Coturnix japonica: one gene and its partner. The protein of the gene in region 2 purifies or fractionates together with the protein of the main gene of each other region. This does not show direct contact. Links are inferred from orthologs where the notes say so. Each region holds a gene or a part of one and is shown on either strand. Other genes may lie near its edges.

Region 1 (4,773 bases), on a different chromosome or scaffold from region 2:
GTTACCGAGATTAGAACAGATTTCAATACAGCAAACTAAAGTACTGCCTCAAAATTAGAAGCCCAACGGCTTCCCACGTTTTGTTGTGCTTCACGTCCTCTCAGGGCTCAAGGGATTTATGACCGAGTTAATACAGCTCAGTGACCCAATCTCTGTCACCTCTGCTTGATTACTAACTCTGCTCCTGGACACTTGAGAAGCAAATTCCTTCTCATCAACTACTTTCATGAATGAAGCAGGCAGGAAAAAGACTCACCTCTTATATTCAGCGTTTTTTCTCTCTTTGGGGATGTCAAAGAGTTGGTCAAATGTAGACAGATAAGTGATGTAATCCAGTTTCTAAGAATGAAAGGAAGTTTGATTCAGACTTTAGATACACACAGCATATCAGCAACCAATTTCCAGTCACCAGACTAGAAGAAAAGCACAAAGCTCATGCCTTTATTCTGCATGGTCTGCACAGGGCTGGGGTTTACAGTGTGCTTTCTAACACAATGCAAAACAAGCACCATAAAACAGCTATTTGGAAATAAATGACATTTAAAACAGACCACTGAGCCCTCAGCACTGAAGTGCAATACAACAGAGTGCCCACACTACTGCAACCACTTACCTCTGATGATTTCAGATTAATGTATTTGAGATAGCAATCATGCAGATCTAAGTATCTTCCATACCCTTCTTCATCTGTGAACTCCACCAGGTCTGCAGGAAAGAGCACGCAGGGCTTTGTTACAAACTCAACATCCTCTGCTTGTTATATGCATGCTTTAGAAGCTGAACTGCAGACTAGTTTATCTTTCTTAAGCATGTTTATAATGCAAATGGATACTCATCGACTAGATGGCCACCAGCTTCCTAGTGTTATATCAGACCATCCCCCAAAAGAACCATCTCAACAGTGGAATATTTCAGGGTGGCTGCAGCCCAGAAGAATTTAAATGAAATTAAAACAGTTGTTATGGTTAATGTAGGGAAAGGGAGGTGGAAATCAAAGCAGAACAGACAGGTCACTAAATCACGGCAAGCAATGTGTTCTCAACTAAACAAACCTCAAACAAGAAACAAACAAAACCCTGAAGACTTACTTTGAGCTTCTTCACTTGGGTTGTCTCTGGCCTTCAACAGTTCCTCAAACTCCACTGACATTGGAACACAAATCTTCAGGAACAGAAGAAGTTATAGAAAAAGGGATTAGTTCAGCTAATGCCCAGGAGTAATTAATACAGACTGCAAACAGTAAAACAAGTAACTGAAGAGGTGTTTCAAGCACTTCTTCATGATTATATTTGCACTAAAGACAGCATTAGGCAGGCAAGAATGAATGCTAGCTCAGAAGCAGAATGCTCTTAAACTAATAGAGAGTGTGGAGGACATGGTGAGCATCCTGCATTTTCTCCTACTCAGACAGAGGCTCATATAAAGTCTCAAAGCATCACCTATTTCTAGACACTTTGTTTTCCTGAATGACATTTTAATACAGCAGAGATGAAGCCCAACACACCACAAACCAGTTATCCTTATGGAGCTGCTGCTTACCTCATTGGGATGCTTGCGGTGGAACTCTTTTATTTGTTTCAGTCTGTTATAGAATTCAGCAAATTCATTTGGCCCTGAAATGGCACTGAGCTCCTCCTTCCGTAAGCTACAGGTTCATAAAAAGAAGACAGGTTGCATATAGAAAACACGTTTATGTTGGTTTATATTGGTATAATGTTTGGAAGTCTAACACTGCATTCTGCTCCCACAAAACACCAGTGAGACTGAAATCACAGCCCCACCATATGGGGACAATAATGAAAAGATGGTAGTAAATAACCAAAAGGTTATTTACAAGTTAAGCTCACCCATATGGAAGCCTTAGATCTGCTGGGAACCACTGAAGTGATCACTACCAAGCAGCAATCACCAAGAGATGCTGCATTAGTGGTGGTCAGCCCTTCAATGAGGTCTAGAGGAGGTGAAGTCAAGCTCCACCCCTTTATGGGGAACAGCTAAATTACTCTCACCTGTGCTCCCACAGCTGACCCAACACTTGGCTCAGCTGATTAATCAGAGGTTCAGGCTGTGATTACCAATCTCCCATACACCCACTGATGTTCCACATGCAGCCAGGATTGTGCTTTGAGGATCAGGGTCACATCTCTATTGCAAACGCTGCAGTCTCAGTTAGAGACCGTCTCCCTCAATGATTCAATACCAGAGGGTCTGGTACAGCTGGTGGGGTTGGGTGAGAGGAGGTAGGAGTGTGGTGGGGGATCAGCTCCACCCCCATATGGGGATAGGAAGGGGGACAGGGCTGTAGTACTGCTCTGTGCTTTCTGCTTGAGAAGTGTTTGTGTTGCATGTTTCATGTGAAATCTGGGTCCTCCTCTTTAGGGCAGACCCCCAGCTTTGCATTGTAGCATCATGTCTGTGGTGTATAAAGCAGATCCAAGGCAGCCCCATGTCCATTCCAGCCCGCTATACACTCACCCATCCTTATCGTCATACAGGTCCCTCAGGTTGCTGCTCACTTCCATGTACCTCTAAAACACAACACAAACCTCACGTTGACACAAAGAACCTCAACCAAACCGGGGCCAATCTGGGCCCTGCACCTCCACAGCTACCCGAACCACCCCCAGCCCCACTCACACCCCGACCCCACTCACATCCTGCATAGCCCGAGTCCTGTGGTCGGAGTTGATCTGATCGCGGAGCTGCATAGAAATAAACGGCGTTAATAATGAAGGCCTGAGCCCGGCCTACCCCCCCCACACCCCCCCCCCCTCTCCCCGGGCACACACCCCCTGTGTCCCCCCACTCCCATCCCCGGGCTCACCGTGGATTTCTTAGTGAGCATCTCCTTCACCATGACGTCCATCAGCCGCTCTCGTTCCTCATGGTAGCGCCGCTGCTGCTCAAGGATCGTCTCCATCTTCTCCCCTTCCAGCCCGGAACCAGAAGCTCGCTGTGTAACACCGGAAGGGTCCGGCCCCTTCCCTGAGCCGCTTGATCCGGATTGAATGTGGTTCCGCGTTGATTTTAGCCCATGTGAAGGTGTAGAGCAGTGAGATCCACTGGCCGCCACAAGCCAGTTATCCCAGTTATCCCAGAAAAGTGGGAACTTTTCTGACACCTCTCGCTTCAAACCCATAAAGTCGTAAGGATTGAGAGCACTGCAGGTGCCCCCAGGCTGGGGTGAAAGCCTCCAGCTTCAATGTGGCTGTGGGCAGCGTTATACAGCCATGAATCACAGCCCAAGCAGAATAAAACATGTCCAGTCCGGTGCTGCCTCCTTCCTGCCTGCCTTGGGGTTACAGATGTTGCTCCTGGGATGAACAGACGTTGTGCTTAATGGGCTTTGGACATCACGGCTGAAGGATGTCAGGACTTAGGGGAAATGGTTTTAAGTTAAAAGAGGGAAGATTTAGGTTGGATGTTAGGGGGAAGTTCTTCACTAGGAAAGTGGTTAGGTCCTGGAACAGGCTGCCCAGGGAGGTTGTGGATGCCCCGTCCTTGGAGGTGTTCAAGGCCAGGTTGGACGGGGCCATGGGCAACCTGATCTATGGGGTCTCTATGGGGTCTCTATGGGGATCTATGGGGTCTATGGGGTCTCTATGGGGATCTATGGGGTCTCTATGGGGATCTATGGGGTCTCTATGGTCTCTATGGGGATCTATGGGGTCTCCTGGGCAACCTGAACTAGTAAATGTGTATGTTTGGTGGCCCTGCTAGGCAGGGGGGTTGGAACTACATGATCCTTGAGTATATTGAGGAATAAAGCTGTCTCTGTGAGTTCTGCGGCCTCCCCACCTTTTTGGACCTTAGCTGAGGGTCTGGAAGAAGGGATAACAGCAGGAGGAGCATTCAGGATGCCTGAAGGGCTCAGCCACATCCCTAACCTCACGTAACAGAGGCAAAGGAGAAAGTTCACCTTCAGCTCTGGTTCCCCACTACCCCAGGCAGTATGGACAGTAGTGGACCCGGGCTTGTTAGCACACACAGGTCCAAGTCCAAGCCTTCAGCTGCACCTGGTCTCCAGACCCATCCCTGCAGGGCTGCAGGAGCTGCTGGGGCAGGTTTATGTTGGGTTTAAGAGCTCAGAAGAGGCTGTGCTGGAGCCATGACCTGACGCTGCATGTAGATGCCTGCAGCTGGGAAATGGGTGACCTCCAGCAGGGAGCTGAAAAGAATGTTTGGAAAGAGAGAGCCCTCAACCACAGGGCAGCGAGGGATGCCCACAGTGAGCCCCAAAAGCATGTGGCAGGAGCCACCGTGTCCCTCTGTAGGGTGGCTTTTCAAGCTCAGTGTGTGGTTAATGCTGGGCTCACAGTGAAGGCTCTGCTCGCCTGGCTGCGTGCTGAGGAGTATTTCCGTGCCTGCTTCAGACCATGCTCTGAGAACCCAGGGGAGGTTTGTGCATGACATCACCCTCCCCCTCCCGTAAATCAGGCCCGGGGCCGCTCGCAGCCATGACCCATTCATGACAGGGATAAAATCCAGATGTTCCAGCTCTACGTGCAGCTGGGTCATTTCCTTTTTTGGCTAAAAACGTGAGGCTCTTGAGGCTGAGCAAAAGAGGAACCCAGGGGCCCTTTGGACAGAAACCTTTTGTGGTTAATCCCTGGAAACAGCACTGCAGAAACAAGGGCTCGTGGCGCTGCTGCTGCTGCAGGACAAGCTCAGCCAAAAACCTCCAGGGCCTGAGTTGCTCGTTCCTTGTTTGAGGCCAAACAGCAGTAAAAAGCAGAGCCTGGCACAGGTCATGAGCAGCAAAAGTCTTATATG
Region 2 (4,769 bases):
TCAGATGCCAGTGCAGAGCAGGGGGTGCTGGCACTCAGTGGAGCTGCTGTGATAGATGCCAGGCTTTTGCCTCCTCCCCCCACCCAACCCCTCCATTCATCACAGCAGCACTCCTTGTTCCGTGCTTCCCAGGTCTCTCCCCACACACAAACACAAAGCACCCCTACGCTGTTCCCATGTTAACCTCGAGTTCCTGCTTCCCAACCCTCCCACGCTGCTGGCTCACTGCTTCAGGCTCCTCTAATCCTCCCAGGCTCTTCTACCCACTGCTCTGGCCCTTGCTCTCTATTTCCAGCCTCCCATCATCTTCTCAGCTTTGCTGTCATCCAAGCCTCGTGTGAACAGAAGCAATCTCGGCCGCAGCCTACCCAGCACCCTGAGCTGCAGAACCAGCATCTCCAGGCCCCAGGCAATCAGCACCAACACACTCGCTGACACAGAGTGCCTCGCAGAGAGAAGCCATGCCTTGACGTGGCATATTCCTCCATGCTGGAGGCACACGTCGAGCTGAAAAACCACCTGACAATCTGCCAGTTGTGTATCCTGACGCAGACCCATTGAACAGACCAGCTGTGTGCCGGCAGGTTGGGATTTCCTATGGGAGACACCATTTTGTCAGGATTCACAAAGCTGCCAACAGTAGGTGAACAGAAAACTCAGAACCTCAGGCTCTTCTGGAGCAGGTGATGCCCCAATGAGCGCAGGCTTTCTGTCACTTCTCCCTAATACTGACCTTTTCTTCTTATCTCCACGATGCTCCGCCCTGTCTCTTCATCCTCATTCAATTCTGATTCACCTCTCCCCCTCACTTTGAGTCACTGGGCCTTTTCACTGATGGGGGATAATTACTGTAATCACTCACAGTACAGAACATGTCAGAACTCTCTGTTTCTCCGCTTAGCGCCATACCTCAGGTCGGGTACCGGGGTTACAGGGAGTTTAATTATGTTCAGAACCTAAATTCACTTCACAAACAAACTCCTGTAAGAACAGGTATTTCAAACAGCAAGAATTAGGCCAAGATTCAGGAGTTGTAATGGCAAAAACAAACAAACAAACCAAAAAGAGCCAAACTGTGTGAAACTCCGAGTCCATGATTTGGAATAGAGAGAGAATGGAAACTCCAACCTTGTAATTTAATGGAGCAACAACAGCAATGCCATGAAATATCACAGAACTGCATCTATGGGCAAACTGGATGGCTCTGCCTACAATAATAAACTGTTACACAAAATAAATAGAAAGCATGAGAGGTTAATTTGTTACAGAATCACACAATGACCCGGGTTGGAAGGGACCTCAAGGATCATGTAGTTCCAACCCCCTGCCTGGCAGGGCCACCAAACATACACCTTTACTAGATCAGGTTGCCCAGGGCCCCGTCCAACCTGGCCTTGAACACCTCCAAGGACGGGGCATCCACAACCTCCCTGTGCAGCCTGTTCCAGGGCCTAACCACTCTGCTAGTGAAGAACTTCCCCCTGACATCCAACCTAAATCTTCCCTCTTTTAACTTAAAACCATTTCCCCGTGTCCTGCTATTGTCAGCCCTTTCCAAGAGTTTACTCCCCTCCTGGGAGTAAAAAATAGAACTATAGGAAAATAGAATAAGTCTATTGTGCGCGCAGCAGCATCGCCCCCTACCGGCCATCACCGAGCCGTGCCGCTCAGCGCCGCTCTCTCATCTCGCGATGCCCGGTGCGCGTTGTCCGCCGGCTCCTCCCACTTCCCGTCCCGTAGCGCGGCCCGCAGCTCCGGCCATCAGGCGGTACCGGCCCCACGGCTCCAGCGCGGCGGCCCGGCCCGGCCCTCGGGCCCCACAGCGCCCGCCGAGGTGAGTAGCGGCCGCTCGGTCCCTCTATACCGCCCCGCTGCCTGTCGCTACCCGCCGGAAGGCAGCCCGCGCTCGGGCCTGGGCCTAGGCCTAGTGTTACGGCCCTGCCTCCCCGCACGGCCGGGCCTTGGGAAGGGGAGGGATCGGGCTCGTTACGCCGCAGGCTGCCGTTGTTGTGCAGCTCTCAGTGCAGGTGAAGGAGCTCCGTGCCCGCTGTTGTTGTTATTGTGCTGAGCTGTGTGTTCCCTGCAGATGTCGGAAGACCTGGCCAAGCAGTTGGCCAGCTACAAGGCCCAGCTGCAGCAGGTCGAGGCGGCCTTGTCTGGGAACGCTGACAACGAGGACTTGCTGAAGCTAAAGAAGGACTTGCAGGTGAGGCAGTGGGAGCGGCCTGAGGGTGTTTGGGGGTTTTTTCACCTTTCCTTGATGTCTGTGTGGCAGCTGTCTGTGGTAGAAGTGCCGCTCTGCAGCACAGAGACTCGAATCCCGGGAGTTAGGGATGTTACGGGGAAGTTCTTTACTAGGAGAGTGGTGAGGCCCTGGAACAGGCTGCCCAGGGAGGTTGTGGATGCCCCGTCCTTGGAGGTGTTCAAGGCCAGGTTGGACGGGGCCCTGGGCAACCTGATCTCGTAAAGGTGTACGTGCTGAAGCCTAATGGGTGGCTTAACAGTGCTTCATTCTGCCTGTTCCTGAGCTGTCAAATCCTTCATCTAGGATCCGTGTATTCATTACGTGCAACGATATAAACTTCAGTCTGTTTCTGCATCCCTTGTACATCTAATCCTCTGTTGTGCTAAGAATTATGTAAGAAAGGAAGACAGATGTGTCCTTCATTTGCTACCTGCAGTTTCTTTAAACGTTTGAGCGTAGCACCCTGTAAAAAGCTCAGACCAGTTCTGTGCTTCAGGTACTGTTCAGTGCCAGGAAGACCAGCGGCTAATTTTAAATTGATAATAGGGCTCTTAGATTCTTGTGTATAGAAAGTTACACTGGCATAGAAGAAAACAGCACTGTTCAAATCTCACGTGAGAGTGCAGGATGCTGCCTCCTTTCTGCTGTGGATTGCTTTGACACAGTCAGTGATCTTTAGAATTCCTTTTAAATGATAAAGGCTTGGTGCCCACAGGGCTCTTAGTAGATCATCTGAATGTCCTTTGCTGTACACTGTTAAAAGCATGTGTATATGTTTATATTTTTAAAATGCACAGCCAAACCCATATGGGATATTTCCGATACCAACCCGACCTCGGCTTTGAGATCATTGATGTGAAAGGACAACTTGCAAACTTTTTAATAAAAGCTTTCTGCACAGAATGGGGAAGATGTTTACACTGTCGTCCCCAAAAGGTTTGCTATTCATATGTTCCACCTTGCAAATGACGTAGACAATGTTTTGCAGACTTAACATGTCAACCTAACGATTGTAAACGTGGGTTCAGTGCGTTCTGTCCTGACTATGGAGCTTTTCTTTTGTTCAGACTTAATGTGAAGCTGAAAGATCCTCTTACATTTAACATAGAGATGCACTGCTGCATTTTGTATACTGAGCCTATTCCTGATGAACGGGATTAAAATAAATACGACAAGAAACTTTTACAAATGCTTTGCTCTTTGCCTTTTGTTCCACTGAAGGGCTTCTTTGGACACTGTCCATACAGCAAAGCAACGAACTCTGTGCTTTGTGCGAGGTAGAACTGATGGCAGCCATCACCTTCTGTAGTTGGAGATGGAATATAAAGTTCTGCCTGAGTTTTTTAGAGAGCAGCTGGTGAGGAAAAACCCTGACAGACTCTCACTGGAGTTCCCTGCAGGTCACACTCCCATGCCACACAGACACAGCAGCCCATCCTGCTGCTCAGCTCAGCTCCTGGACTAAGCTGCTGTGGTGTCTCTTGTGCAGAGATGTTCATTGAATAAGCTGCTCCCTTAAAGATTGCTACAGAACGATCTCAGGAAGATTTGTACCAAAAGTTTGCTATTCGTTGCTTGTTGTTTAAATGACTTCATCGGATTTGAAGAATTGCTGGTAGAATGGTTTTCAGCTACTCCCATTTGGAGTTCTGTAATAAACCACCGATGAACGTGATGAGAACATGTCAACACTTCTGTGTCACGCTGGTAGCACGCACAGCAGAAATGCTGGCACTCCATTTACATGTATTTGACATGCTGAGATGGCACCCATTTCAAAGCCTCTCAATTTTCAGACAACATACAGTTGTATGTTGATGGCTGGTTTGGTGTTTCTCACCTGGAAGGAAAAATTATGCAGATATTGTGTTTTCTGAAGAGCTCTCAAACTGGGTAACCTCAGAGTCTGTTCTAGTTCAGCTGTAATGTTACAGAAGTTAGAGATCAAAGTTAAATAGAAATAGTTTTCAGCATGTCACTGTGCTTATAGTCGCTACCCATTGTGATTACTGTTCAATTTAGAAACAAGCAAGTTCTTAAAACAGAGAACAGAGCTTCTGTTAGAAAGGTGCTGACAAATTAAGACAGTAACAACCGCTACAAACAAACAGGACATTCATTCTGGTTGTACAGGTTATTGGATGAAAGTGCACAGAAGGGTACATTGCATTAACCTGCTATCTGGGAACTGCTTACAGTCTTCTTTGTTCTTGAGGAATGAAGAATAGCTTCTTCACCACCATTCCCTCAGCAAGTCTTAAGTCCACAGTTGGACTAGTTCTAGTTGAAATCAGTGGTCTCAGTGTTGGGGAACAGGGATATAATATGGGGAGGAAGGTTTGAGGAGAGGGCTGGCTGCGTGCTCCTATCTAAATGAATAAGGTTTAAAGGAACTGGAGAAATTTGTTAAGCACACGAACTAAAACCAACCAGAAACTTGCTGGATTAGTAAGGGAACGCTTGACCTGAAATCTTGAGGTCACTGAGTGTGGAGAAAAAAGAACACCTCAAATGACTTAAAGCA

Evidence for each region. The genes of interacting proteins can lie anywhere in the genome.
Region 1: the proteins of SMNDC1 (region 2) and SF3A3 purify together in Homo sapiens (affinity purification with mass spectrometry; 3 studies listed by BioGRID and IntAct, with this or other methods). This does not show direct contact. The link is inferred for Coturnix japonica from reciprocal best matches to the Homo sapiens genes SMNDC1 and SF3A3.

What each region holds. Positions count from the first base shown.
Region 1 is NC_029538.1:3,123,440-3,128,212, reverse strand, and holds the start of SF3A3 (splicing factor 3A subunit 3), read right to left. Parts: upstream 2,968-4,773; 5' UTR 2,921-2,967; coding exon 2,825-2,920; intron 2,703-2,824; coding exon 2,655-2,702; intron 2,529-2,654; coding exon 2,476-2,528; intron 1,646-2,475; coding exon 1,540-1,645; intron 1,162-1,539; coding exon 1,089-1,161; intron 706-1,088; coding exon 614-705; intron 340-613; coding exon 257-339; intron 1-256. UniProt on the Homo sapiens protein: Component of the 17S U2 SnRNP complex of the spliceosome, a large ribonucleoprotein complex that removes introns from transcribed pre-mRNAs.
Region 2 is NC_029521.1:22,832,050-22,836,818, reverse strand, and holds the start of SMNDC1 (survival of motor neuron-related-splicing factor 30), read left to right. Parts: upstream 1-1,714; 5' UTR 1,715-1,834; intron 1,835-2,086; coding exon 2,087-2,206; intron 2,207-4,769. UniProt on the Homo sapiens protein: Involved in spliceosome assembly.